Alligator mississippiensis: one gene and its partners. The protein of the gene in region 2 purifies or fractionates together with the protein of the main gene of each other region. This does not show direct contact. Links are inferred from orthologs where the notes say so. Each region holds a gene or a part of one and is shown on either strand. Other genes may lie near its edges. The genes, in order: ATXN2, DDX6, G3BP2 and AGO2.

Evidence for each region.
Region 1: the proteins of DDX6 (region 2) and ATXN2 purify together in Homo sapiens (affinity purification with mass spectrometry; 6 studies listed by BioGRID and IntAct, counting the BioPlex papers as one, with this or other methods). This does not show direct contact. The link is inferred for Alligator mississippiensis from reciprocal best matches to the Homo sapiens genes DDX6 and ATXN2.
Region 3: the proteins of DDX6 (region 2) and G3BP2 purify together in Homo sapiens (affinity purification with mass spectrometry; 3 studies listed by BioGRID and IntAct, with this or other methods). This does not show direct contact. The link is inferred for Alligator mississippiensis from reciprocal best matches to the Homo sapiens genes DDX6 and G3BP2.
Region 4: the proteins of DDX6 (region 2) and AGO2 purify together in Homo sapiens (affinity purification with western blotting; 5 studies listed by BioGRID and IntAct, with this or other methods). This does not show direct contact. The link is inferred for Alligator mississippiensis from reciprocal best matches to the Homo sapiens genes DDX6 and AGO2.

Annotation. Positions count from the first base shown.
Region 1 is NC_081833.1:3,641,579-3,648,572, reverse strand, and holds the start of ATXN2 (ataxin-2), read left to right. Parts: upstream 1-3,984; 5' UTR 3,985-4,075; coding exon 4,076-4,254; intron 4,255-6,994. UniProt on the Homo sapiens protein: Involved in EGFR trafficking, acting as negative regulator of endocytic EGFR internalization at the plasma membrane.
Region 2 is NC_081839.1:35,215,504-35,222,483, forward strand, and holds the start of DDX6 (probable ATP-dependent RNA helicase DDX6), read left to right. Parts: upstream 1-3,970; 5' UTR 3,971-4,078; intron 4,079-6,128; 5' UTR 6,129-6,386; coding exon 6,387-6,586; intron 6,587-6,980.
Region 3 is NC_081825.1:164,553,015-164,560,709, forward strand, and holds the start of G3BP2 (ras GTPase-activating protein-binding protein 2), read left to right. Parts: upstream 1-4,689; 5' UTR 4,690-4,772; coding exon 4,773-4,790; intron 4,791-4,799; exon of another isoform or gene 4,800-4,995; intron 4,996-7,695.
Region 4 is NC_081826.1:7,730,714-7,738,475, reverse strand, and holds the start of AGO2 (protein argonaute-2), read right to left. Parts: upstream 3,009-7,762; 5' UTR 2,912-3,008; coding exon 2,875-2,911; intron 1-2,874.

The DNA of each region.
Region 1 (6,994 bases), on a different chromosome or scaffold from region 2:
GCTTCACAGTCGCCTTGTCACTGAGAACTATCCTTAAAATCCTGAGCAAGACAATGATACCCAAAATTGTTCATCTCTTGAAAATGTATCTGATCATGATCATATATGTTAGAGCTGCTCATGCCCCTGTAATTTCTTGTTGATAGTCATCAATTCTGAATGAAAACTGATTTTAAAGTAGCTTTAAAAAGAATGGTCTAACCTAGGACTCGAATATCAGGGCCTGCGAATGCATGATTTGCTCTTGAGGATAAATCATTGTGTTCTTCAACAGCTGCTTAACTTGGCAGAATAAGACTAGCATAGTCTTGAACTCCTCTCCCCACAGCTAGATTGCTACGGTACCTGGTAGATGTGTTGTAGCTGACTTAAAGTATCCTTGGGTACTTAAAGACGCTGCCGTACAGAGGTTTTTAAAGCCACCTAGAGACCAGCGTCTTGACTAATCAGAAAGATTTCAGTAGTGCATAGCACAAAAGCAAATCCAATAGCTATCAAGCGAGTCAGCCTAGCAGCAAGGGAACACTTTTCCAGCGGTACAAGGATTATAATGGGGAGAAATATATATATATATTTTTTTTCTTTTTTTTTTTTCCTCCAATGCGCAGATATATAATATGCATGCATGGAGAAAAGAAAATCAAAATAAATGAAACTTGTAGCCTGCTCCAAAACTCCAGGTTCTCAAACTGCATTTGGAGACCTCCCAGGTGATCCATTTTGCTGACTCTGAAGCATCACCAGTCTTCAAGCACTGGCACTAACTCTGTCCAGGTCTGAATTCAGCCATTAGAGTTTATGGAGGCTTTTTTTTTTTTTTTTTTTGGACTGAGCTCACTGGCCATCTCCTCTCCATTCTTGAGTCAGCATTTTTTTGGGGAAAAGCTCAGTTGTGATCAAACCAGGAGGAATCGCCAAAATGGGAAAGGTTTCTGTTGATTTAGTGCTCTTGCTACAAGCTGAAGTGTGATCAGAATTAAAGTATATTGGGGAGGAGATGAGCTACCATCAATTTGAAGCCCTGCATGGAGGTAGGGGAAGCTAACCTTCTAGGCAAGAGGGATGCAGAGAACATGACCAATATACCAAGTGATAGAAATTATCTGCAGTGAAGATGTAGGACTCCAGCAAGGTTTTCCCATCAAAAGCCTTGGAGTGGGGTCGCAACAGGACCACTGACCCTCTTAAAGGCACTCGCTACGGGATTTTGGTAGACTTCACATGGAAGGAGGATTCGCTTGTCTTCATAAACCCCCTTGTGGATGTTGTCACTGAGGGTAAGTTAATTTTAATGGCTTTGTTGATGGCAGTCACTTATTTCCTTTTTTAATCTATTGGTATATTTTGTATATATGTGTCTTTTAATATACATGTATTTTTATTTTTACTTGGTCTCCATGCACAGTACAGTAGGGCAGAGAAGCAAGGGTAATAGACAATGGAAAGCAAACACAGGGCGCAGCAGTGCAAAGAACCACGCTGAAAGGGAAAACCAGTCCAACCGCAATCACGCAGCACTTAATGAAGTGCTGACAAGAGACTTCATGTTTATTTGCAAAACTGCAGCTCAACTATTGAACGCTGCCCCAAAGCTGTTAAATAAAATGTATCCCCATGTTGGGGTGCTCAGATTGGATCTCCTGGCAGGAAATCTATCAGGATTTATACAGTAACCTGAAATTGTATGTGGTTAGAATAATCTAGCATGCAAAAACATGAGGTAAAATGGCTAGTATTGGATAATCCTCGTGTGCCAGATTCCATCCAAGTGCATCTGACCCTTTATTTATCTCGCGTGCCTCGACTTTAAAATGACACCAGTATACACACAAATTGGACAGTCTTTTCTAGCTCCAGCTAACTGGAAAGGTCCAGAACATGCCTGGTCAGGAACCTAAAAGTCCCTCGACTGCAATTTGTATTGTAGCGAGATGAGGCCTTAACGCTACAGTCCTGTACGTAAGGCAGGGCTGGACACAGGAATGGGTAAACCGGGGGCTGGACAGAAAGGGGATCCAAAAATGGTAATTTAAAAATTATTATTATTATAATATCATCTCTGGCAAAGGGGGGGGCCTGATACTAAAAGTCTGCCCGGGGCTGCCAGGAGCCTAGGTGCAGTGCTGCCTTCCGGCAGCGTCCTGAAGAGTTTAGCCAGCTGTAGGCCTACTTGTTTCTTTATTTAAAAGTGCATGGTTCGACTAACGTTCAAGAGGCTTTCTAATAGCAGGCAGCGGGTGGCTGTACGTAGCGTAGTGGGTGCAGACGGACCGAGTTCTTCCACAGAATTGTTTAATTTTGTGGTAAACGTTGCTAAAAAACCTTTGTCAGCGGTAACTTTATCTCCTTCCAAGCTGCACGAATGCTGTCCCTGGCTTTCGATTTTTGTGGCCAAGAAATGACTAGCTGGGCATAAAATGGACTAAAGGGGAGAATTCAAGTGGAGTTTCTTGAAACGTTGGCTCCGCACGCTGCGAGCGTTTCCAATTAAAGAATTCCTGCTCCGGTGTCCATTTCGGCTGGCATTTCCTGTCCTCCAGCCAGTAATGTGTCACCACATCATTATTCAGGCCTGCAAGGTAAAACAAAGCAAGAAACTTAGGAGCCAAATGTACGAGGTGGGGGGGGGGGGAGAAGCTAATTTTAAGAAGCTATTAAATGTTGGCGTGTTCCTTGCGTGCTACCACCCACAGCTCCCCTAACCCTACGGGAAAGCAACCGCTTTGCGAGCAAGGTGTATAAATAATGCCTGCCTCGTGGCATAATTCCTCTTTATTAGACTCGAATCCTGGGGGATCACGAGTCTCGACGAACGCCGCCGGACTTCTCGCGGGTTTGGCTATCCGTCCACTCGGCGGCAGTCCGGCAACTACACGAGCTCACGCTAATTACGGACGCTGACTCCTTAAAAATTATTTAAGCGGGACAGCCCCAATTTTTTTTCTCGTACGTATGAATTAGCCGCGCTCGGAGAGAACTAGTAACCAAAGTCAGTGCAACCAGTGCCACCAATGCATCCAGCCTGAGACCACGAGTTAAAAACGCCAGGCTTATCATCGGACGTAGCGAGGATGCTGACGACGATGATGATGATGTTTGTTTTGAGGTGAATTGGCCTGTCAGGCTCTACAGCAAGATTAAACACTGCTTAAAAATAATAGCCCTGGGGAACGTGAGCCCTGAAAGCTGGCGATCCAGGACGATAATCCCCGCTGAGCCGGTTTGGCTTTCAGCTGGAACCGGAGGTATTTGGTGACCGAGCGCCGCAGCCGGTGTCCGACACCAGAACCGGGACAAGCCCGCGCCCGTCCCCGCCAAGGGCTGCGAGGCGAGGCGAGGCGAGGCGGGCGAGTGATGGAGGCCGCTCTCCGGTGGCAAAAGGGGCAACTTTTGCCCCAGACGACGGGGCAGAGACGCGCGCTGATGTCCGAGGTGTTTGTGAGTGACTCGCGCCCCGGCCCCGGCCCCGAGGGGGAAGCCGGGCCCCGTGCTTCGTGCTTCACGGGTGGGTGGGCCGCGGGGAGCCTCGTGGGCCGCGTCCGGGCCCGTGCGTGCGCGGAGCCTGGCGCGCATGTGGGGGAGGCCTGTGCCTGAGGGGCGCGGCGCCGGGGGCGGCGTGCGGCCTAGCCGGGCCCAGCGGCTCCCCCGCGGGCGGGCGGGCAGCCGGGCCGGGCCAAGCCTCGCGGGAGCCCCCGGCTCCTCCCCGCGCCTCACGCGGCCGCCTCACCGCCCGGACCCTTCCGACTCGCCCCAAAGAGTCCGGCCGGCGCCCCCCGCCCGCCTGCCTCTCCCCCGGGCGGGCGCGCTGCCTGCCCCGCGAGCCCCTCGCTCGCTCGCTCGCTCGCTCCGTGGAGCCGGGCCGGGCGCGGGCGGGGCTGCGCTCGGCGAGGCGAGGCGAGGCGGGGCCGGGCCAGGCGGGCGGCCGCAGCGTGCCGCGTCCCCTCCCCCGCGGATCCCTCCGCCCCGCGCCGCCCGCCGCCCGCCCGCCCGCGAGCCCGCCCGCCTGGCCCCGGCTCCGGCTCCGAGTCGCGCTGTGGCAGCGAGCGGCCGAGGCGGCGGCAGGAGCGGCGCGGCCATGTCCCTCAAGCAGCAGCAGCAGCAGCAGGCGGCGGCGCAGGCCCCCGGCGGTGCCCGCAAACCCCCCGGCGGCGGCAGCGGCGGCGGTGGAAGCGGCGGCCCCGGCTCCGGCTCCGGCTCCGGCTCCGGCCTGCCGGCGGCGGCGACACCAGGCGGCGGGCGGCAGAGCGCGGGCAGGTGGGTGCGCTGCAGCGCGGCGGCGAGAGGCCATTTTCCCGGGCAGGGCCGGGCCGGGCCGGGCCGGGCCGGGCCTGCCTCGCCTCTGCCTCTGCCTCCGCCGGGGCCATGTTGCGAGCGGGGCGCCTCGGGCCCGGCCTAGGCCGCGCGGCCTCCCCCCGCGCCCCGCGCCGAGGTGAAGCTGAAGGACGGGCCGGGCAGCGCGGCGTCTCCCCGCCGCTCCTCTGCCGGCTTATCCCCCCCATAGCCGCGGGGGCTCCCGCAGCGGGGGCAGGCGTCGTCTCCCACCCCGCGCCGCAGCCCGGCCCCGGTGCTGGGGTTGCGGCCCCGCCGCCGCCGCGGAGGACGGGCACCTGCTCCTTTCACTTAGGGGCGGGCACGGCCCCTCCATCCGTGCTAGCCGGCCGGCCGGCCGGCTCCTGACGTTTCTGCGGCGATTCGGTGCGAGTATCTCGTGGGGTTGGGTTGGGTTGGGTTGGGGGCGTTCCCGCCTGGACCTATTTATTAGATGGTTCCCTTTTAAAAAGGGGCAAAATCCAGGTGCATGAGAAGTAGATGGTCCCTCCTTGACACCAGACACAACCCAGGTGCGTGAGGAGCAGATGGTCCCTCCTCGACGAGCAGGGCGGCGTTCGAAACGCTTCGCCGTGTTTCGGGGCGCGCGCCCGCGGGACGTGGTGCCGGTCTCTTCCCTGCGATGTAAGCGGCGCGAGGAACAAGCGCGCGGCCCCCGTGGCCAAACGTGACCGGCGGCGGGCGGCTAGTCCGCGTCCTCCTCATATCTTCAGCAGATCTTCGTACCCGGCGCGGTTTTATCGACGTGTAGGCAGGACGGGTGACCCGCGAACAGGCACCGTGCGAAGGGACGCGTGGTTATTTCTCCGCGTTTCTCCCAGCGGGTTTTTTTGGCGTTTGTTGACACGTTCCCCCTCCAGCTGGGACCTGTTTTGAGGTGCCTACAAGTAGAGCCGCTGGCGTGGCGCAAACTCCCCATTTTTAATCTTTTTTTGCTGTCGTAGTACTTGGGGTCGGGAGGAACCGAAACAGATCATCAGTCCGACCCCCTGTTTCTGGACTGTCTGTGTAACTGGGCCCAGTAGTCTTTATTAAAAAGGAAACGCGGTGAAAGTACTTGTAAAAATAAATGAATAAAATAATAATAATAGTTCTCACCAATAAAGAGAGAGAAGCTGAAACATATTCACAGATGTTAGATTTCACAGACGTTGGGGCTGGAAGAGGCCTTACAAGATCACCGGGTCCCAGTGAATTCGGGGTTTTCCAGCTTGCTTCTCGCGGTTCAGGCAGAGTCTCTGCATTTGCCCTTTCCGCGGCGAAAACTGGGTAGTCGATCTTGCTTTTCTCCAGTCTCCTGTAAAAGGAGAGCAAGATGGAAGATGGCTGTCCCACCTGGATGCAGCTGGTCAGGAGTATTGGGCATGACCTCTCCCAGGTCCTGCGGAGGAGATGGCCGCTTTAGAAATGAAACCCACTTGCGGAGAAAATCAGAAAGCTAAACCATCCCTTTATCCCGATGAGCCAATGTGCACAAGCGTGTGTGGGAAGCAACTTCCAGTGACCACTAGACTCCACCTTTGTTACAGTAACTACTTCACAAGACATCAAGGGAACTATTCATACTTCTGTTTTCATTTGAAACCCCCCATATGCTGCACATTGCATCAGTAGCTACTTCTCATAGTTTCACAGCTGTCAGGGGCTGGAAGGGACCTCGCAGATCATCGGGTCCAGCCCCTGCTCTAGGCAGGAAGACCACTGGGGTCAAGTGACCCCAGCGAGGTGGCTGGCCAGTCTCCACTTCCATAGATTTCATAGACATTAGGGCTGGAAGGGACCTTGGAAGATCTTCAAGTACAGCCCCCAGCCCCTTTAGGGAAGGGTAAGAAGGCCTTTGCTCAGAGGACCTGTTTAGTGAATTTTGTCCTACCCCTGATTTTAGTACCTTTCCCAATGTCACCCTTTCTCTGCCTCACTTCTTCCCGATCTCTAAGACCCGAATTATTTCCGTGCTTCCACTTCTCAAGGCTGCTTCAAGGTTTAACTCGATTTTTAAAGTATGGTGCATTCCTCTGAGAAGAAGAGAATTGCACATGTAAAAGAGTTAGCAGGGATACAGGGTCTCGGAGGCCCAAGTTAGTAATAAACCACAAATATGAAATGGCACAGAATTTTCTGAGTAGCCCCAAATTAAATTAAAGTAACAATGTTAAATTATCGGACAAATAAATGGGTAACTTGTAGGTCATTTTAAATAGCGACTAATGCTCATAGATAGTGATTAGTATGGTGTTGCTTGCATACTTTCTCGTAAGCTTTTTAATCAACAGCATGAGCCCCTGACCTGTAGTAATTATGAGGAAGGCGCGTCGATGCCTGTTATAGCAGCTGTCAGAGAATGTGTACTGTAAATCTGACCTGGTGTTCTCTCTTCTCCATATACATGGAAGGGGTGCTAAAAGAGGACTAGCTCTTGACATTATTAATGTATTTGTAGAAAGTCTAATGAAAAGCCTCTCCCTCTTTTTGAGGGGGGAGGCTTTAATTTTGCACCTGCAATATGTGTGTATTTTTATGAAGGCAGTCTCATTTTGTAAAATACTGAATTGAAATGATGTAGGTAGGCTTTCACAGAGGCTCTGAGTGGATGCAGGCCCCAACTGAGAACCTGAAAAAGTACAGTTGTCTAAGGTATTTATCAAACAAAAGAAACTGGTTTGCA
Region 2 (6,980 bases):
GTCACCAGTCCCAAGACCGAGCGCATGCTGCTTGCTGGTCAGCAAAACATGCTCTGCAACCTGCGGGGGAGAGTTCAGGTCGGGTGAGCGATTTGCTGCTGCCAGAGTCCAGGCTCAGTCCAAACCTTCCTTCTGGAAGAGCATGGTGGGGATCTCGGCTGCTTGAACAGGAGCTTTGTCACCCTGGCCAGCTCCCTCTCTCTGGCCTCAGCAAAGGACAGCTATTTATTGAAAGAAAGATGGTATATAAGGTTGGGGCGAGGAGGGGAAGGACAAGGATGCTACCCAACTTTATGTTTAACTCAGCACTGGTATTTCCCCACAAGGTATGAGTTAAAAAGCAGCAAAGCCATTATAGGAGATCTAGTCCTGAAAAACAATGTTGGGTCAAGCAATAATAAATGTATTTGGTTGTATTTTAAATGCAAGAATAAACAAAAGTAGGTCTTTAAGATTAAGATACTCCATTTTTAAAGGGAAAACATTGAGAACTAAGATGAAATAAGACAGTGGTTTTCAACCTTTTTTCATTTGCGGACCCCTAAAAACATTTGAATGGAGGTGCACACTCCTTTGAATTGTAGGGGTGGGTATTCACGTACTTTTGACCATACTCATCTTTTGCAGACCCCCGGGGTTGAAAACCACTGAACAAAGAGAACGAATGAGTGGAATTAGATGGACTAAAGAGCTCAAGGACTTGAATGCAGAAGCGTGGAATTTCTTTACAAGGCAGGTGCAAAAAGTATGGACCTCTTATCCCAGTGGGGAGAAAACCTGGCTCCAGTCCAGCCTCCCAGAAGAGGTATTAGGCACCAAGAGAGAAGCTATAAAGAATGGAAAAAGGGCTGATTGACAAGAAAGCTGTGTCTTAGCTATCAGGAAATGTAAGGATAAAAATAAGAATTGCCAAAAGTCAAGCTGAGTTAGACCTTGCAAAGGAAAGAAATAAAACCACAAAGCAAAAAAAATTTCAGCAAGGAAAAAAATGGAGCTGAAGAAAAGCAAGAGTAGAGCTGCTATGTACAGAGGTTTAGGCAAGTTAAAGATAATCCAAAAATGACATGTACTTGTCTCAGTTTTCATTTAAGCATGTTGCTGTTAGAAATGTTGCTGTTAGTCTAATAGAAATGAAGACATGGAAAGGGAAACTGCCACATTACGGGTGGGAAAGAAAATCAAGGCGCTAAAAGTGCTCGAGTGATGGGGACTAATAATCTCCATCTCTGAATTCTGAAAGAACTAGCCCCTGACATCCCAGGTGTGTCAGCGAGGATGCTACCGAAAGACCTCTGTCAGCAAGGAAGTTAATGTCTCAAGTCTGGGATAGTACTGTGTGACTGGAGAACGACAGATTTAGTACCGGCATTTAGGAAGGGTGGGGGGCGGTGGGGGATAAGGGAAGGGAGGTATCAAGGTCTGACCTCCATAGGATGAAGCTTTCAAACAATGTTTGAGCAAAAGAATAGAAAACATAGATGTAAATGGAAAGTGAATACAATTGAACATAGGTTTGCCAGAGGTTGATTTTGGCAGGGGAGCCTAGTACTTTATTTTTTTGGTAACATAACCAAGGAAACCCAGGAGATCTAATCTATTTGGACCTTAGTAAAGTGTCCGATATGGTGTCACTTAGGAAACTCTTAGCTGAAGCAGAGGAAACAGGGATCTGTAGAAGGACTGTAAGGTAGATGAGGAACTGACTAAAGAGAAGACAACGGGTAGGTTTTGAAAGAGGAGGTCTGGGGCCGGAAGGCCGGTTACTAGTGGAGTTCTGTAAGGATAAGTCCTGGAATCAGTCCTATTTAAAATCCATTATGAGTGACTTCAGCAGAAAATAGTGAAAGTGTGCTAATGGATTTCACTGTCATCCCAAAGTTGCGAGGCAGCTTCAATACAAGTGAACAATATGGGTCAGATAGAAAGAAGTGGAGGAGCTTATGGACTGGAGCAATAGAAATGGGATGACATTTAATAGTAGAGTGCATGGTCATGCACTTAGAGACTAATAACAGGAATGTCTGCTAGAAGCAGGGGCTCATCAGTGGGAAAGGACAGCAGAGGAAAAAGATCTGGGTGTTTAGTTAATCATGGAATGACAGGCACCAATGTGAGACAGTTTGAAAAAGTCAGATGCTATCCTAGACTATCAGAGACCTGAGAAAGCGTACATTGGTACCTGGAAGCCTGTGTCCTTCCCAGCTAGACAGTTAGTTCAATAAAAGATATCACCCACAAAAATTCTTGCCTGGAGAATATATGAGACAAGATATTTGCAGTTGAGCTAGGGACGTACCAGTGTCATCATACAAGACGCACGCGAGACTTCCTTAGAATACCATGCACAATACTTGATCATCCGTTCACTGAAAGATTAATTAAAACTGCAATAGATGCGTAGAAGGGTCACAAGGATGGCCGTGAAACTGGGACTGAGGCCCTGCCAAGTGTGTGTCGGTAGGGGGGGTTCTCTCTGTCGGATACTTTGCTGGTACTATAAGTGGGACAGTGGGCTTGTGGTGTGCAAGACCCCAGGATAACAGGCTTTGTCCCATGGGAAAGCTGAAGCCTGAGTTTGTCTTATTGATCCTGGCACAACAAAAGCTGAGGGAATAGGATTTTGCCCTGTAAATAAGCTAGGGGGTAAACACGGGGAGGGAAAGCGATCTGAAACTCCAGGACAGCGTTGGCTCTGAAACAAACAGGCATGAACTGGCTGTGGATTATTCCAGTTTCTAACTGTTGCAGCACTGAGGTTCTGGAACAGCTTCCCGGTCAGGGCCGCAGGGCTGAAAAATACTGTTAAGGTGGGCACGATTGTTTCATGAAAGGGGTGTTGTGCCATTGCACCTGCAAGAGTAGGGACTGGACGCGTCCTGTCGGGGCTGCGCTCACGCACGTGTAATTCGGATTCTCCACGCTCCTCTTGAAGTGGGAGAGACTGAAACTCGGTGAGAGAACGTGACCTGCCTGGTCACACGGGGCCAGCCCTGCGCCTTCGCCTTCACCTTCTTCCGTCTTCTTTTTGTGCCCGAGTAGGGTGGCACATGGCACCGCAGACAGACCAGCCTCTCCCCAAGCAGGGGGGCCGGCGGCACCGCACCTTGGGAGGAGGGAAACGTTAGGGTGCGAGAGGGAGGGCGCGCAACTGCACGTCCCAAGGCAAGAAGGGCCGGCGGAGGCAGGGGCCGTGGCAGCCCCAGGCACGGGAGCCGCACGGGCCGACGCGGAGCGGAGCGGGTCTCCTGCCGCCGTTGAGCCCCCCGCTGGCAGGGCAGCGCGGCCGGGGCGGCTCCGGGAAGCGCCGGGCGCGGCCCCGCTCCCCACGCAGCCGGCGCCCGAGCGCGCGGCCGGGCCAGGCGCGTCCGCACCGCCCGGGACGGGGTTCCCGCTGCGCGGGCCTCGTGCGGGAAGCGGGCCCGGCCTGCGCCCCCGCCCGCCCGCGGGACGCACCGTGGGAACGGGCCGGGGAGCGGCAGCTGCACGTCCCCGGGGCCTTGGGAAGGCCCGGCCGGTTCCCCCGGGAGCTGCAGGCGCGTGGCGTGCGGAGCACCTGGGCGGGGGCAGCCCCGGGGCCTGTGCACCAAAACAAGAACTGAAAGCGGGAGCGAGACGCATGCAAAGCAGCGCCGGCCACGGCCGGGGGCAGCGGCCAGGCCCGCGCGCTGCCCTGCGCTCCCCGCGCGGCCCGGCCCGGGCCCTCGCTAGCGCCCGGGGACTCGGCGGCTCCCGCTGCCGGGGGGGCCAGGCCGACCCTGCCGGGCCGCGAGCGCCCCTAGCGGACACTGCGGGGCTCGGGCGAGGCGGGGCCGATGCACGTGGCAGCAGGCGGGCTCGCGGCGGCGTGACGTAGCGGCGGGGGCGTGTCGCCGCAGGCTGGCGTAGCGGGGCGGGGCCGGCGGCGTGACGTGACGCGACGTGACGCGCGGGGCGGGGCGGCGGCGCTGAGGGGCGGGGCGGCGGCGCCGGGAGGAAGGAGGAAGCCGCCATCTTGGAGCGTCGAGTCGCCATAACAAGGCACCGAGCGGCGGCGGCCGGAGGATTTTCTACCCGGGCGGGCGGGGCGCGGCCGGCGGCGGTGAGCGGGGCCGGGCGGGCGCGGCGGGCTGCGGCCTCCCCCGCGGGGGCCCGGGCCAGGCTGGGCCGCTCGGGCGCGGCGCTGCGCAAGGACCGGGGCCTGGGCCGGGCCCGGGTGGGGAAGGGGCGGGCGGGAGGCCCCGGCCCGTGTCCGGGCTGCCCGCGGGGACGGCGCCCGGCGGCGGCCCATTGTCTGCGGGCGCCCGGCGCTGCGCAGGCAGCTCCACGGGCGGCGCGGCCCGGCCCGGCCCGGCCCGGCCCGCCCCGCCGGGGGCGCCGAGGCCCGGCAGCGGGAGTGGAGCCGCCGCGCTCCTTTGTCTCCTCGGGATGCGGCGCGTGGGGAGGAGGACGCCGGGCCGGGCCGGGCCGGGCCGGGCCGGGGCTAGGGGAGAAGCGGCCGGGCAGCGCGTGGCGCCAGGGTGCGGCGGCTCGTGCCGCGGCGCGGCCTTTGTTCGCGTCCCTGGTCCGCCGGGCCCTGGTCTCGCGGGGGCGGGGGGCTGCGCGTCTCGCCGCGCTTCTCCCGTGACGGGGCGCGCAGGGCTGCCTGACCGCTCCGGCCCGGCCCGGCCCGGCCCACGCTGCTCCGCAGCTGCCTCCTGCATGGGCGCCCGGTCCCCGCGGGACTGCGCTTGTGTTTGCTTTGCACACGTGAAGTACCTGCAGCTGAAATGTGCAAGGAAGAAATTCTCGCCAGGGCTTAGTCCGCGTGTCTGGCAGAACCACAGTCACTTGCTTTAGTTCACTGCCCAGATCAGCTTTAGTCTGTGCTCTGGAAGACTAATTGGGGAAAATAGATATTTTTTTAAATTTGGAAAATTCGTTTGTGAAATGAGAGATGGCAGAAGATTCAGACAGAGATTTTGCCCTTTTAAGCATGGTTATATTTGAATCTTGTCGGTGGGTTTTTATCGCAGGAAGAAGGCACGTACCTGTCATAAACAGCGTGGGGCGCGCGTTGATCAACAGGTTCCTTCTGTTTACACTGGCTAACTAAAAAGTGCGGCAGTGCAGTGACACCGAACCTGTACAGCTACCCTTGCAGGTCTTGTTTTGAAAAGGTGGTAGCCCTTTAAACCCCTAACTTCATGCTGCAAATTGGGGTCCTTTCATCCCTGTTTATTTAATAAATTCATTTTTTTTCTACCTGCAGGGTGCAAATTGTGGGTGTGTGTTAAGCTACTGCGTTGACTAGCTTACTATCGTTACCTTCCCAATGCTATGCTCCTACGTTTTACATTTGTTTTCTATGTATCCTCTGAGGACACCATGTGTTTGTTCATTTACTGGCATTTTGAAGGTAACAGGAAACTAGTGATCTAAAACAAATGCATCTTATTTCTAATTTGAGGCAGGTACTAAGTTAACCATTAAAAATGTCTTCTAATTCTGAAGTAGAGTAGAGCCAGGAAGCTGGCATTGGATGGTTTGGTGTGAGCAAAGCAGTTTAAGCATGTCTAGTAGCTTATTTGTTTAAACCTAAGCCCTGACTTAACAGGTACCCGGGACATCTGTTTCAAATGATCAGTGCACTCTTCTCCCCCCATTAAGATATTAAATTAGTGATTCAAGCAATGGCGTGACTCCCCAGATCCTCCCAGAAGATAAATTTTGTGGTGGTGTTTTCCTGTCACAAATGATTATATGGTGTTAACCCTTTCTTTTGTTCTTCTTCAAAAGCAGCTTTATTGCAAGATGGGTAAAATAGTTGCATGACTTGAGCCTGTGTTGCAGGATGTCTGTCTGCAAAGCAGTTCACATGCAGTATCATGAAAGCAGTAGGATTGTTATTGTTCTTTTTGTTTTGTTTTTCTCTTTTTTTGTTAAGCAGAATTTCACTAGGTGCCAGTAGATGTTAGTTCTTTGTTCAGTTAGAAATAACAAGGGGAGCACTATTCATTGGTGGCACTTATTTTTCATTTGAAGTACTGTGTACTTGTTCTGGAAGTGCTGTCTCATACCAAAAGTGTGCAGTGTCCTGTCAAATATGGAAATGTGAGTTATTTACACCAAAAGATCTGTGTGTTAATTGTGTGTTTTTACTTCTTTTTCAGATTGAAGTGAGTGATTCAGATATAACTCAACTTTGTTAGAGGGCTTTTTTTAAAAAAGTTGATCCACAGTGCATCAGAGCAAGTTACTACTTACTGTTGAGTGACTTACAGGTGCTTGCCTGCATTGCAATAAAGGACTCATATATTGAGCAAGACTTATTTATCTCTTCGTTTTGGAGAGTCTTATAAACTGTTATTACAGTTTCTGTACTGACTTTCAAAGTTTTGAAGTCTAAAAAGACATCTTTAAAAACAAACATGAGCACGGCGAGAACAGAGAACCCTGTTATAATGGGTCTATCCAGTCAGAATGGGCAGCTGAGAGGCCCTGTAAAACCCAGTGGGGGCCCAGGAGGTGGGGGCACACAAACCCAGCAACAGATGAACCAGCTGAAAAATGCCAACACAATCAATAATGGCACTCAACAGCAAGCACAGAGTATGACCACCACTATTAAGTAAGTATTTACGTAAATGTATGTGGTGTTTTAAACAAGCTGCAGATATTGAGGAAAGTTGTTAGGTTTCTTGTGTTGAAGACTGTTTTTTTTATACTGCTATTAATTTATTATAATGTTGGCAATGTGAACTTTGATTTAAAAAAATGGCAGTATACTTTGTTTTCTAGGTTAGTGCTTTTCTCTGACAACTATCTTTTTAACTTACTGGAACCTCTTAATCATTTTATGTTTGGTTTTTTTTCCTTGAGAGCCTTGGCCTCAAGCAGCACCTTGTTTAAATACTAAGTGAGGCAGGGGGAAGATGGGTATCCATGCACTCCTAGGTCAAGGTACCATGCTGTTGCTGGCGGTTTCAAGGTGATGAAACTTAAAGCCATTTTGTTCTGATAGT
Region 3 (7,695 bases), on a different chromosome or scaffold from region 2:
ACCAACTTAGCCAGTGGCCCACTCAGGCCTCAGGTGTCTGTCAACATGCCTGGCAAGCCCCACTTAATGAGCCTGGGCCCTGTGCCTTTCTCTCAGGGTATGCTCCCCTACCTTTCACCTCCACAGGGTAACTGCACGGCAGTGGGGGCTGAGGCTTTCCCGCACCCCATACTCACCATCCAACCCCAGCAAGGTGTAGTTTCAGGTCATGGCCCAGGACCAGGAACCTCCTCCATCCCCATAGTTCCTACTCTTCTCCTCCAAGTGTTCTGGGAGCAGCAGATCTCAAGCTGGGCAATGTTACCCCAACAACACCCCTGCAGCAACTGCTAGCCCTGCTCCTCTTATACTGAGGCTGCTCCACCCTACTCCAATCAGGCAGCCTCCTGGCTGTCATGTGACTGCCTGGTTGTGTCTGCTCACACCTACAGGCCTTCTCACAGACTGTGCAAGCCCTTAAAGTGGCAGGCACCAAAGCTGCTCTGCCACATCAGGCTACATAAGCGTGGTACTTAATGTCTGTCCTCATTTTTGCAGTTGCCTCCAAATGAAGTGTTGGCTTTTCCATACATTTTTGTTATGATTTTTAAGTGAAGTTACCCCAATAAACACTGACCATCTGTGCTCTTGCTTCTTCCCCTGACAGCCATCGGAAAGCTTGTCAAGAAATGTGTCTCTGTATGTTTTCTCAAAGCCTGGAGTGAGGTGCGGATGAAACAGCCCCTTTCAGCCCTTCTGACTTTAAGCCAGCTCCAACTTCTTGGTTTTGATAGATCTGTTTCGAAATGGCAGTTGTCCGCTTCAGTTTTACATGGTTCATTTCATCTGAAAAAACAGCAGTTGCTTATGCTGTTATCTGTGTTTCTTGGATTCTCTGCCACAGTGAACTGACTAGCTGTGACACATAGAGGTGGGAATGGGGCAGAGCAGCATAAAAATAAAAGACAACTAAATGCCAGAGAAAGGGGTAAGGAAGGCAAACAAACAGATTGAAATGTAGGAGAAAATCATTTCTTGTGTAAAATATGGGTGGAGTCTAACAGGTTCAGAGAGGTATGAGGTTTCATACCCAAGAGCCTACTTCATCAGATGCTATGAAAGGACACTTAGATTTATTCTCTTGTATAGCTTCTGTATAGCTCTTGTATAGCTCTTGTATAGCTTCTGACCAAACAGGTTGTTGCACATGAAAGCTCATGCCTCCCTGAACCAGTTACTCTCTAAGGCAACCTTCTACCTGACTTCAGACTAACAGTTAAATGCTTCTCTTGCATCAGACATGGAAACAATAAAAAAGCCTCAAGACAAACCAGTTGCGGCAAAGTATTGTAGCTCCTATCAGATGGGGACAGAATTTTTATTGAGCTTACCTCTCAGGGTGGCATTTCAATGATGTTGTCTTTCTGTAGCCCTGACTGAACGCCTTCATACAGTGTAGGTCATCAGGTTAGATCACGCTGACACACTTTACCTGAGGTGACCATGGAAACCATAGAGAAACTTCAAACCTCATACCTGCCTTTCGAAAAAGAAAGGCTGATAGGAAGACATTATGCTCTTCTACAGTGGCAATGCATAGGGGTGCATGGGGGTGCACGGGCACCCCCTGAGAGTGCCGGTGCACCCCCTGACCGGCCACACTCGCTGATGACTCTAAAACTCATGCTAAACTTGGGCCTACTCACAAAAGTTAAAATACAGAATAATAATGCTAACTGCATATTGCAGGAGGATGTGAGTTCATGGCTAGGCCAGCTGAGAAGGAATAATGAAGTATCTCTTCCAGCTTATCTTCCTATATTCAGGATGATTTCAGGCAGACTTAGTTGTCTGGTGTGTAACTATATGAAATGTCTATCCTTGATTAATTAGTATGGTAAATATTTCTTTTGCAACTAACTCGTGTTTATGTGCAGGAAGAGACATTCTCCATATGTGATAGATGTCTCCTCCTGATTTAGTATGTTTTTCCTGGCTGTTAATCAGTTTCTTGATATGTTCCAAACTGGATAACCTCTTGTAACTGAAGAAGGTAATTCATTCAGATTAGAAATTTCTGATAACCAGTAATAAGCAGGTTTTTCCTGTCAATTACTGCTTGGGACTCTCTCTTGATTTACACGACTAAAAGAATACTTTGAAGATGCTAAACTAAGGGTATAAAAAGGCAGTAAAACAGCAAACAGCACGTGCGCTCCGAGAGTGAGAAATCTACTTGCTTGAGAAGTTGTAGAGAAACAGACTGCCTCCTTCTCGCACGTTTGGCGAGAAATCATCACGTTATAGCTAATTATGGGACTCTGATTTGGTTTGGGCTCACTTGACTTGATTTTAAATACTTGTAGTAAATAAAGCCTTTCTGTCACTCATCAAACGTGGTGTCGTGTCAATCCCTAGTTTGGGCTAGTTCGGAATCCTAGATTTTTCTGTGCTAAAACTCGCTGCTTAGGCAACGGGCAGGGAGTTCTGGCAGCCCCCCTGCAAGCGCTGGCTGGGGATCAGAGTGCCACTGCGCTCCCGGAAGCAGCTGCAACCACTCCCGGAAGCGGCCACAGCCACTTCCACAAGCAGCTGCAGCGATCAGCTGTCTTGTGATGGGCCACAGGGGGATCCCCCCTGCCCCTCTGGCTGGCAGGATTGGCCATGGGGGACCCCCTCCCCCCAGTTGCTGACTGGTCGCTGGAGGGGCATGTGCCACCCCTGACTTAGGCGGCACCAGTTGCCCATGCTCTTCTAGTTTGCTTTTGGATGGATTCCAACATCATGGTACTAATCTTTATCAAAGAAGGATTCAGGTGCCTTCAAACTAAAAAGAGTGTGTGTAATTTACCGTGTTCTTTGGCTGGACGTTTATGCTTCTCAACACGACTGGCTGTTTTGGCACCCTTTTGGGAGGACAGCTTGGCGTGCCATTTCTAGCCTACAAGGGTACTGAACGTTCTCTTCTGCCCCGACTTGATATTTCAAATTCTAGTAAGGGAGGGTGGTCTCGTACCCTTTAACATTGGCCCTCAGCCAGACCTGCTGCCATCCCTTGGGGCTGCGCCTCTCCTACACCTCACCTAGTGCTAACCCAACATTGAAGCTCCTTGTCCAATAGGTTGAGGCAAACAGCCTTCTGAAGCGTTTCTAGCTGTAAAACTCAAAACAAAACAGAGTGTCCCAAAACAAAACTATAAATGAGCAGTCCTTCTGCAACAGTAAAGCATATTATGCCTTTGTCCATGATGTCCCCATTCCGTGGGGTAGTAAAGGGGCTGAAAAAACAGTTACTATGGCTCAGTGCCCCATTTACTCATGATTCTAATGTTCTCTTATGCTTTCTCTTTTAGGCTCCTTGTCATCCCAGATCCAGTCGTCTAGTCTTGTCTGCCAGGCCAGCACTTCAAGAAAGTTCTCTGGCTTCTCCAAGCCAGCATTTGATAGGGCTTCCACCAATCGCCCCTGCTGGGGCATGCTGTGCCTGCGCTTCTTTCTCTCCCGCCCCAGGAAGTCACTTCCAATTCCCCTGGGGTTTTCCTCCAGGCTGTTCTTGTCTCCCAGCTCAGGTTTCACCCACTCAATCGGCATCGGCATACGCTCATAAAGTGTGCCCATGCTGGTTCATCTGGTGAAAATTTGACCCCTCATTGCATGAGGTACCAAATACAGGCAAACCCCACTTAGTGCTCTTAATTACTTCCCAAAAAAACCAGTGTTAAGCAAAAGGAGCATTAAGTGAAACCTAAAGTATTTGAGAATCCAAGGTGGTGACTGCAAGTGTTTTTAATGACCTAAGATGGTGACTGCGAGCATTACAGCGAAACTTGCTGAGCGCTAAGTGAAATCAGGTATCAATTTAAAATGAGCATTCTAGCACTAAGTGAAACAGCATTCAGCAGGCTTTGCCTTTAACAATGTTTCAAAATGTAGTGTCTTTTATAACTTGTCTTGGCTGAACTCCTAGCCTGTGGCTGTTTTCAGAATGGGAAGGGGGGAAAGGGAGCAGGCATCAGTCAGGGTTTTTTTCAGCCCCCACACCCAAGGCCAGGCAGGTATATTAAAACCCCAGCTACGCAGAGGCTCCAATTCACCCACCCCACTATTCAGCGGGGCCTGGGGAGCCCCTGGAAGGAGCTCCTTCCCTGCCTTTCCCCCCTCCCATTCTGAAACCAGTAAGCACGGGCAGAGAGCCTGGCTGTTGCTATGGGAACCTGGCTGCGACTCCCCCAGCTAGATTCTTCTCCCCCTGGAACCAACAACAGCGCACTTCTGTCTGGTCGGGGTAACGCTGTAACTGAGCGCTTTGCAGAACAGGCTCAAATTACAGCTGGGAGCTGCACCTCTGTCTGAACCCCAAGGTGCTTATGCCCGATTTCAGCTAACAGCCGCCGTTGGGTAGTTGTAAACCACTGTCTGAGCAGGGTGTAGCTCCTAAACGAGCCTGAGCGTCTCCGGAGCGAGACCCCAAACCAGCCACAGCCCCGCGAACGCGCTCGCGGAGAAGAACCCGCAGGGCGGGGGGGAAGACTTTTTACTGGGCACCCGGGGGCTCTAGCCACCCGCTGTCGCTGGTTGGCTTATTTCCCCGTCCAACAAGCAGTCGCCAAGGCCTATTGGCCGGCAGGGTCCCGCCCCCCGCCGTGGCTCGAGGCGGCCCGCGCGCGCGACCCGCGTCTCACGTCACGCGAGCGGAAGCCGGTGGCCGCCGTTGAGGTTCGGCGGGAAGTGAGCGCTCCGCCGACGTCACAATGAGGGCGGCGTGGATTGGGCAAAGGCGGTGACGGGGGCTCATGCCCTGGCAGACAAGGGTGAGACAATAAGGGAGACGCGCCGAGCGGCCACACGCCAGCCCGCCTGCAGCCCGCGCCGCGCCCCTCCCCCCGCTGACGTCGCCGCCCGGCTCTGCCCGCGCGCCGCGGCCCGGCCCGGCCCGGCCCGGCCCGGCCCCGCTGGCACAGACCCGCCCGCCGGCGGCTCCGGGGAACGCCCGCCCCGCACCGAGACCTGCGCCAGGTGAGCGCGGCCGCGCCGGGCCGGGGCCGCCCGGCGAAGCCGGCGGGCTGCGTGTACATGCCAGCGTGCGGGGGGGCACTTCCGGCTAACGGACGGGGCGGGGCTCGCGCCGCTTTTGTTCCCAGTCCCTCGCGGCCGGGTCTAACCGGCCCTTGTTCCCGCGCCCAGCGGCTTCCAGGTCTCCCTTCCCTTCTTCTTCGGTTTGGGCGCAGGCGCCCACGGCCCCGGGAGTGGCGGCAGCAGCCCCAAGCCCGGTGCCATGGGCGCCCGCTCCTAAACCGGGCCGGGGAAGGAGATGTTGGCGTTGGGCCGGGCTGAGGCCCCCCCACCCACTCCCCGGCCTGGGCCTGCCTTGTGCCCACCCGCAGGCCCAGCTGCCCTTGGTGGAGGACCCTGTCCCGTTCCCCGCCCCCCACCCAGTCTGGAGGAGCTTCCTGGCAGCTCAGCTCCTTGCATAGCTTTATTCCCCTTAAGTTGCCCGGAGCAGGAAGGAGGCCCCTGTGGTTCCAGGCTGCTAGGCAAGGACCCACCCCTTGCCCCAGGCCAAGCTGGCAGCTGGTTAGTCTTTTTCCTTCTTGCTCTCAGTCCCACTTCAAATCTTGGGCTTGGTTCTGAGCGGCTCCTAACGGGCAAGTGACAAACTGGAGGACTTGGGGAGGAGAGTGAAATTCCAGGGGACTGCTGCTCCTGCCTTGAGGGCAAAAATGTGTTCAATGTGGTGGCTGTATAAAGACTCTGAAGTACAAAGGGGATGGGCTTGGGGGGGGGGGGGGACAGGAAGGTGTAAACATCTCAGGGAAGGATTATGTTGCAAGAAAGGAAACACATTGGTTGATATGGAGGAGAAAAAGTGAATGGAATCACTAAGAAAGTATTTGGCATGCAGATAAGATGTGGGTAGAGATTGGCTGATACAGTGAAATTTATGAGCCGAGTCCAGAGAGTGCAGCCCAAGAGCAGTTCCAGAATCGTCTTTCCATTGCATTGACAGGCTCATTTTTTTTCAGCAGGGCTTTCCCTGCAAACCTGAGTGGTGCAGTCTTCCACCTGGGTTTGAACCTTTCTTTTAGGGTACATGCATTGAGCCCTGCCAATAATATGTGGCTATGTCTAGGCTGCAGTTAGAAAGATCTTAGCTAGCTTTAATGTAGCCAGCTTGGGTATTAGATGTCTAGCCTCAGCAGCATGGAGCTCTGTTACAGGGTAAATCAGCACTTGCTGAGATTCATGCTGTTCTGGCCAGACTGTTATCAGTATCTGAATTAGGTTGAGTGTATATCTTTAGCTATATTGCAGTCACTTTTTTAACTGTAGTCTAGAAAAGCCCTTTATTTCTAACAGCAAAACTTAGGGGGTAGGCAAAAATTTTCTGCCAGGGTCTTTATCATTGTAAGGATGATTGTTATGGAGGAGAGCTGCCATTCTCTCTCTCTCTGCTTTGCTGAGCAGCTACTGTAATGAGATTGGGAATTCTGACTCCAGTATTGTGTAAGGCCTTAAAATTGGTGTCCTCTGTGTATTACTCCAAATGTCCTGTAGTATTGACATTGGTGGATACAGATTCTCCCTAGCAACCCAGTACAAGTTCAGAAGCTGTCAGCTTCCTGATATTTTCCTTCAGTGAATTTTCTATTGATTTATTTATCCTCTATCAGTCCTCGGGTATAAAACCTTTGTGTGTACCCGGATGAAGTTCCAGTTATTTATGAAATATCACGTACTTTTATATGAGGTCTTGTGACAGTTAAAATGCAGTTCCTTGATTAGGAGGTGGTTAAACTTTTGTGCTCTCTGCATCATATCTGAATCCCATTAAAAAAGAAAGGAATTGCCAGTTCCATAAACATGAAAATATATGCAGTCCCATTGACTTAGGTTGGGACTGCTTATGTGTGTCTTTGAGACCTAGTCAATTTGTGTCTTTAGTGATTCCCACTAAAGGTCTCATGTCCAACAGATGTGCAGATTTATCAAACTGCTCCTCTCTGCAACAACCAGCTAAAGTAAAGATAGGTGCTTTCAAGCTTGCTTTGGAGGGTGACCAACCTCAGGCTAATTTGGATCAAGCAGTGGAAGTAAGTTCTAAAATGAAGGCCTCTTATTAGTACAGTATTCTCCAGCTCTGTCTTTAAATGAAGATCCCATTTGTTTGTTTCCTTTGCATGGTATGGAAGAGGGGGACACTACTGAGTAAACAGATCCTCAGCTAATTAGCGTCCTGGTAGTTAAAACTTAAATTGCCACTTGAAAAAAGAAAAGTGGGCAACTTGGGTAACAATATTGGGATCATGTATCCTTGACAAAGGTATGCAGCTTATTAAGTAGGCTGTCACTTACATTTTTTTTCTCAGGTAAATTCAACCTCTTTGTTCTTAAGAGTTTTGCTGACAAAACCTGCCTTAACGCCATCATTGTGCTCAGTATTTTCTTCATAGAAACAAAGGACATGATCTTCCTGTTGCCACCTTTTGCCCAAGTGTTCAGGCTCATCAGCCTCTTAATGTCTTTGTCCCAAGATGTTATGTTTTTGACTTTGAGTTGACCTTCTATGAGCCACTTTCAAAATGTTTCTCTGTATTGCAGTAATATGCTTATTGGTGGATGCTTTGTTTTACTTGGGGTATTACCTAAGGCTTAGTACCTTTGGCAATGTCTAAAATGTACAACTATTGTAGAGTGCTTAGATTAGATCACTATTTT
Region 4 (7,762 bases), on a different chromosome or scaffold from region 2:
TTGTCACTGCAATCTTATCTAGCACCCAGTCATAGATTTTTCTGTGCAGGGAATTCTCACTGTTATTCAAGAAGGCTGCACTAAAGCATACATGAATATAACAGCAAGTCTGGCATACACAGGTCAGCTGAGTTTGCGCTATAGCAACTACTTCATACTTCGAGCTGTCCCTAAGGCTATACAGACTGTTGAAAAAATATAGTACAGGTGTTGACAATATTAACACATACACTACAGGAAAAAACAAGTTCGCAATATAAACTTTAAACAGTGCTGTATATTACTATAGTAACAAATTTAAAACTATCATAACACAAACTGAGACACAGAATAGCCATTATATCTGTCACTTCCTCATTTACACCTGGCACTACTGAAGTTCTCAATGCAATTTGTTCTTTAGATAAAGCAATGCAAATTCTGCAATGGATATGAAAAGACAAGACAGTTGACACTATTTAGGGGCAAGCTCAACAATCCTGACACTCTCAGAAGAAATAGTTTAATTCCAGGTCAGGCAAATCTGTCTATTAGAATTAGAAGATGAGAACCAGCATCATCATCCCATGCTAGTCCATCCAGGTAAAAGCTTTGACTCTCAAGTCAAAGACACCCATTTTCTCCATTCTCAATCACTTCGAATTCTAAACAAAAAAGGCCATCGGGTATCCATCTCTGCACCGTGAGGGGCCATGGACTGCTCCGGTGCACTCCTCAGCCAGTAAGTGCTGTGGTTGACTAGATGTCTCTCATACTATACGAAAAACGGACACCAAGAGCTCTCCTTGAAATAAAATGAAGCCTTGTTCTGGGGCTGCGGAGGCATGGGCAACATGCTGTTTTCAACTCTAAATATTTCAAGCTTGTCAACATTATGCATGTTTATCACTCCGTGCAAAGAAAACAGACTGCAGAGATATTCCAATATTTTGCTGTCATTCTTACTCCAAAAGATATCATTTCTCTGATCCGCTGTGCAGGACCAGTGGATCAAAGCAGCACCTTCTGAAGTAATAGCTGCAGCAAACAGCTTGTCTTTCATTCCTTAATCTACTACTGAGTGCAAACCGCAAACTGAATGATCTGGATTCTACGCCTCATCTGAATTAGGATATAAAACCAGATTCTGACCAGTCACACCAACACACTAAAAAACTTGAACTGTTGAAGACATTTACATGAGTTGAAAAGCAAACATGAGAACCCCTAAGGTATATCACCAAGCTGCAAATAGATTAAAATAATAGCAGAAAAAAGCAACCCTTTTAGGCATTATTATAGCTCTGTTACTAGCAAATGAACGGTAATAACTTAGTTTTTTATACTCCTAGAAACACAGTGACTCATAAGAGAGAACTTGGTAAAACTGATTTTTTCATATTTGGAAGTAATAAAAGCATAAAGTTCATCCATTCTTTTTTCTTCTGCAAGCAAAGCCTGTTATAAAAATCAGACTCTTCTCTTCAAACAGCGCATCACCAACAGGGAACAAGAGGCTCAGGTGAAAAGTAGAAAGCAAGAGGAAAAACAACCCATACATTGTGTAAGTTTTACAATTTGTTTTTAAGGGCTTTTTAGGAGGTATCAGGGCACCCTAAAAAGAGTAAAACTATCACTAAATTCAGGCATTAAACTAGCTACATGTTTTATTATTAATTAATCTAAAAGTATTCAGCGTTTTATTTAAAACTGCACTATAGTCCAATGGCTTCAGTCAGCAGATGTCTACAAATGTTTTATCTTTTTTGTGTCAAGGTAAATTTGTAAACCAGTATAGATAAAAACCATAGCCCACATACAATACTGGTGCAAGAAAAATGAGTACGAGATGACAAAGTAGTTTCAGACTTTGCCAAATAACTGTACTCTTATAAAGTTAAGAGCACATCACTGTGAAAAGACGACAGAAATTAAAGTCCCTCTTCACAACAAGCTTTTCCTTCTTTTTTTTTCCCCCCCAGAAGAGATTAGGAAAACATTGAGATGAACATTAAGACTGACTGACGCCTCTTGTTCACACTTCCTTAATTAAAGATTCTCTCTCTCTCAACCCAAGACTAAATTTTCACGTTTAGTATCAACCAAAACGTAGTCTCTCGTGAAATCAATGTATTTTTACGTTGCTCCGAGAAACCCAGACAACCCCGGTGAAGCGAGAGAGATGAACATGGCAGAAGGATAACGCCACGCCAATCTGAGCGGCACGGCCCGAGAGGCCAGACGAGCGACGGGGTTTGAGAAGTCAGGTAACGACACGGACGTCGATACGGCGGCTGCAACGTCTCACAGGTCGGACTGCGGCGAGCACACACTAACCAAGATGTGGCGACGCTGGCGTCCAGCATCGGGGTGGCACTGCCCGGCTCGCCGCCAGCCCAGCTCACAGGCATTTTTTCTTTTTTTTAATACGAGGCGTAGGAGCCGTGTCCCCGCCGCAGCGCGGGCAGACGCGCAGCAGCAACCTCTGCCCCGAGGGGCGCGCGCCTTGGACCCTGCGCCCGGGAAGGGAGGGCAGGAGGGCCTTGCCCCAGGAGGGACGCCCTCGCCCCCCCATCCTCCCTGCGCCCACCCCCAGCAGCGCAGGAGCCGGTGAGGGCGGCAGGGGGCGAAGCCGCCTCCAGCTGCGGCAGCGGGGAGGAGCCGAGCACCCCCCCCGCCCGGCCCGGGACCCCGCTCCGCCCCCACGGAGCGCGGGGGACCCGCCGGCTCGGCCCACGCCTCCCCCTGCTCCGCCAGGCCCGCAGGGGCCTCCCTCAGGCGGCGGCGGCGGCCTGCCCTGCCCTGCCCTGCCCCCACCCCCCTGTCTCCCTCCCTCACGCGCGCGGCCATTGCGGAGGCCCCGCCAGGCCCGGGCGGGCGGGCGGGCGGACTCACCCGGCCCGGCGGCGGCGGCGGCGGCTCCCGGGTACATGTCTCCGTGCGCGGCGCGGCGGGGCGCGGCGCCTCACTCTGTCCGGGTCAGCGGAGCCGAGCCGAGCCGAGCCGGGAGCCGGGAGCCGGGCGGGTCGGCGGGGCCGCGGAGGGGGAGGAGCCGCCTGGTCACGTGGAGGCCGCGGAGGGGGCGGGGCCGACGAGGGGAGGAGCCGCCTGGTCACGTGGAGCCCCGCCCCGCCCCGCCGGCGGGAAACGGCCCCTCAGTCCGGCGCGCAGGGGGCGGGTGGGAGCCACGTGGAGGGCGGGCGCGGGGCCCCGCCTTGTCACTGGCGGGGGGAGCGGGAAGGGGGGCGGCCCCCCCGGGCTGGAGCTCGCTGCCGTGGAGCCGCACACGGGGCACGTCGCTCCTCGCGGCCCGGCCTCTCCCGCCTCCACTTCCCGTCTCCGCTGCCTCAGGTCGTGCTGGCTCAGGCGAGCAGCCGGCGCCGCCTCCTCCAGGGGGTGTGCTGGGCCTGCCTCTGCTCCTTAACCCCCTCGCGGGGGCCGCCGGATCTGCGTGCCCGGGCTTGCGACCGCGCTGCGCCCACGGCCACGGCCCCTCCGCCTCGCCCCGCGCGCACCCCGCTCTCCGGGGCAGGGGCAGGGGCAGGGGCGCGGCCCGGGGCGTCTCTGCGGTACGTGCGGAAACGTGAAGGTGGCCTCTCGGTTACAAACGAGCAAAGGACAAAAGACTGGAGTAGTGCTGGCCCGGGCTGCTGCAGCAACTTCACTGCCGCAACAACACGTATGAAATGTACGTACACAACGATGCGTTTTATATATATATATATTATACATGTACACACACAACAAATATATATATCTATAGATATAGATATATAACAAATATTACACGCACATATACACACACACACACACAGAGCAACAAATATAAAATATATACATACAACACCCAATATCATAGACTCATAGATGTAGGGTTGGAAGAGACTTTGTAGACCTAGGCTGACCCCTTCCCTGGGCAGGAGAGAGAACTGGGCTCAAATGGCCCCAGCCGGGTAAACATCAAGCTTCCTCCTAAAGCCCCCCAGGGTAGGAGCCAGCACCGCTTCCCTTGGCAGTTGGTTCCAGATCCTAGCCGCCCTGACAGTGAACTAGCGTCTTCGGATGTCTAATCTGAATCTACTCTCTAGCAACTTATGGCCGTTATTCCTTGTTACTCTGGGAGGTGCTCAGGGGAACAAGGTCTCTCCAAAACCCCGCTGGTCCCCCCTGGTAAGTTTATAGATGGTCACCAGATCCCTCTCAGCCTTCTCTTGTGGAGGCTGAACAGGTTCAGGCCCCGTAGCCTCTCCTTGTAGGGCCTGCCCTGCTGCCCCCTGATCATGCGGGTGGCCTCCTCTGGACCCTCTCCATGCTGTCCACATCCCTCCTGAAGTGCGGCTCCCAGAACTGGACGCAGTACTCCAACTGGGACCTGACCAGTGTCGCGTAGAGGGGGAGGATCACCTCCTTGGACCTGCTCGAGATGCATCTGTGGATACACGACAAGGTACGGTTAGCCCTACTGACTGTTCTCGCATTGGCAGCCCATGTTCATCCTGGAATCAATAATGACTCCAAGATCTCTTCCTGCCACTGTGCTGGCAAGAAGGGAGTTCCCCAGCCTGTAGGTCTGCTGCTGGTTCCCACTGCCCAAGTGCAGCACCTTGCACTTGTCAGTATTGAGTCCCATCCTATTTTCATTTGCCCACCCCTGTAACCTGTCCAGGTCCTGCTGTAATCTGTCCTTCCCTTCTTCCCTTCTCACCCCAAATCTTGGTGTCGTCTGCGAATTTAAACAGGCTGCTCTTCACCCCCTCGTCCAAGTCACTAATAAAGATACTGAACAGTGCAGGCCCAAGGACGGAGCCCTGGGGGACCCCACTGCCTACTTCCCTCCAGGTCAAATATGACCCGTCCACCACCACTCTCAGAGTATGACCCCTCAGCCAATTTGCGACCCATCTGACTGTGTAGGCATCAATGCCACAGTCACCTAGCTGTTTAATGAGGATGGGATGGGAGAGTGTGTCAAAGGCCTTCCTGAAGTCCAGAAAGACTATGTCCACGGCGACACCTGCGTCCAATGATTTTGTGACCTGATCATAGAAGGCAACCAGGTTGGTCTGACAGAACCTGCCTCTAGTGAACCCATGCTGGTTCGCCTTGAACATCATCCCCACTGCTGGCCCATCACGGATGTGCTCCTGGATAATCTTCTCAAAAAGCTTCCCCAGGATTGAAGTAAGACTAACAGGCCTATAGTTGCCTGGGTCCTCCCTCTTCCTTTTTTTAAAGATGGGGACCACATTGGCCCTCTTCCAGTCATCCGGCACCTGGCCAGAGCACCACAAGTGCTCATAAAGCCGTGCCAGGGGCCCCGTGATAACCCCTGCCAATTCCCTCAGCACCCTGGGGTGGAGAGCATCTGGACCTGCTGATTTGAACACGTCCAGCCCCTCCAGAAGTTCCCTAACTTGGTCTTCCCTGACCCTAGGCCTGTCAGAGTCCCTCCTGAGTCCATCCTGAATCTCAGTAAGGGAGTCCCAGTCCCTGCACAAGAAAATAGAGGTGAAGAAATTGTTAAACAGGTCTGCTTTCTCCTCTGGTGCAACCACCAGATTGCCTAGTCCTGCAGCAGCCCCACATTACCCGGGGCCTTCTTCATTCTATGTATTTAAAAAAGGACTTTTCGTTGTCCTTGATCCTTGATGCTAGCCCTAGTTCCGTATTTGCCTTAGCTTTCTTAACAGCCCCCCTACAGAACCAAGCGGTGGAGGTATACTCCTCTTTGGTGATAGCCCCTCCCTTCCACTGGGTGTACGCCTCCTTTTTGGCAATCAGGCATTCACAAATGCCCTTGGTGAGCCAGGGGGGCTTTTGGGCACTCTTGCGCCCCTTGCTTCTTGTTAGGATTGTCACCCCTTGGGCTCTGAGTATCATCTCCTTAAGGAACGACCACTCATCTTGGGCACCCAATTCCCCTACTCTCCAGGACCCTAGTGCCTCCCTCACTAATCTCCTTAGCTCATTGAAGTTGGCCCTCTTGAAGTCAAGGCTACTGCCTTACTGCAGGCCCTTGACATCCTGCGCTGGATGGTGAATTCCAGCAAGCGATGATTGCTATCGCCCAGGTGGTCGAGGACCTGGAGTCCCCTCACCAGGTCATTGCCTGTGGCCAGAACCAGATCCAGGAGGGCATTCCCCCTGGTGGGACTGTGTACCTCCTGGGTTAAGTGGAGGTCCTGTATCTTGGCCAGGAACCTCCGTGAGCAGTCAGACCTGGCTGACTGCTCCTCCCAGCAGATGTCCGTGTAATTTAGATCACCCATGATGACTACATCCCTTGCCTTAAGTGCCTCCGCAAGCTGGCCCGAGAATTCATGGTCCAGCTCTTCCCCTTGGTTGGGAGGTGCATAGTAGACCCCCACCATTAAGTCCCTTTCCTCACAACCCCCCTGTATTCTGACCCAGAGCACTTCAGCCTGCCCCTCCTCGGACCCCATCCTGCTGGTAGAGGATGTGTATTGCTCTTCGACGTAGAGCACCACACCCCCGCCTTTCCTCCCCATTCTATCCCACCTGTATAGCCTATAGACCCTAATGTTGACTGCCCAGTCATGGGATGAATCCCACCAGGTTTCTGTGAGCCCCGCTATGTCCAGGTTTGAACTAGCTATCTGGAGGGCAAGTTCCTCCTGCTTAAGGACAAGGAGGAACCTGTCCTTCCCTTCTTCCCTTCTCACCCCAAATCTTGGTGTCATCTCCTTCAGCTTAGCCCCCAGGGCCTCGAAGTCCTTCATGATGCAGTCTGGGTTGCCTCTGTCCGCGTCATTTGTTCCCACGTGGATGAGAACCATGGGGTACTGGTCTGACGGTCGAATGTAGGCTGGGGTCCTCTCTCTGATGTCCTGAATCTGAGCTCCAGGCATGAAGCAGACCTCTCATGCCACGGGGTTGGGTCGGCAGATGGGACCATCCACTCCCCTTAGGATGGAGTCCCCAATGACGAGGACCTGGCGTTTCCTTCTCCTGATGTTCCCTCTCTGCACCATCTGTGTTGTGCGTGGAGTGGCATCGTCCCCACTGGAGGCATCCCCTTCGTCCTTCTCCCTCATGGCTGCCAGGGCCTTGTATCAAAATACAAAGGACAATAGTAACTCCTGTGGCCAGGCCCCCAAAATGTGTTTAACTATGAAGACCTGTTACTATTTTTGCTTATTACGGTCACTACTAAATTTGTGTTTTTCTATAGCTGGAACAGATCAAATAACTTCAGGGCTCCAGAACGCTACAAGGCCAAACAAGAGAGGACCTCTGACATGGAGCTGAAGAGCCAGGTGGCAAGAGGAAGAGGGAGAGGAAATCTCATCGGTGTGTGTCTGCGAGCACATGCACACCCACACTAAGTCAACCTGCTCTATTTATGTAGGTTGGAAGAAATTAGACAACTTTCTCCCATGGTACGTGTGCTGCTACACCTATTGACAGGCAGGCTTATTGAACTACTCTTATTAAACTACAGGAGAGGGTGGAAATACCTGTATGCTGCCCTGTCCTCAGTCATTGTTTCCCTTTGTTTATTGCTTGAGCAGATGAGGTGGTATGGTTTAGATCACTGCTCCAGGCATATAAAATTGAAGTGGGGTCATCACCTCACTTGCAACCATTTCAAACATTGAATTATTCATTACTTTTATTGCTGGTAAAAAAAAAAGATAGGTAATGTGACAATAATGCATGACATCAGACCCTCACGGACAGCATATCAACTAATGCAAATGAAAGTACATGAATACACCACATTGCACACTACAGATACTATTAACACAGACATCTCAATCAA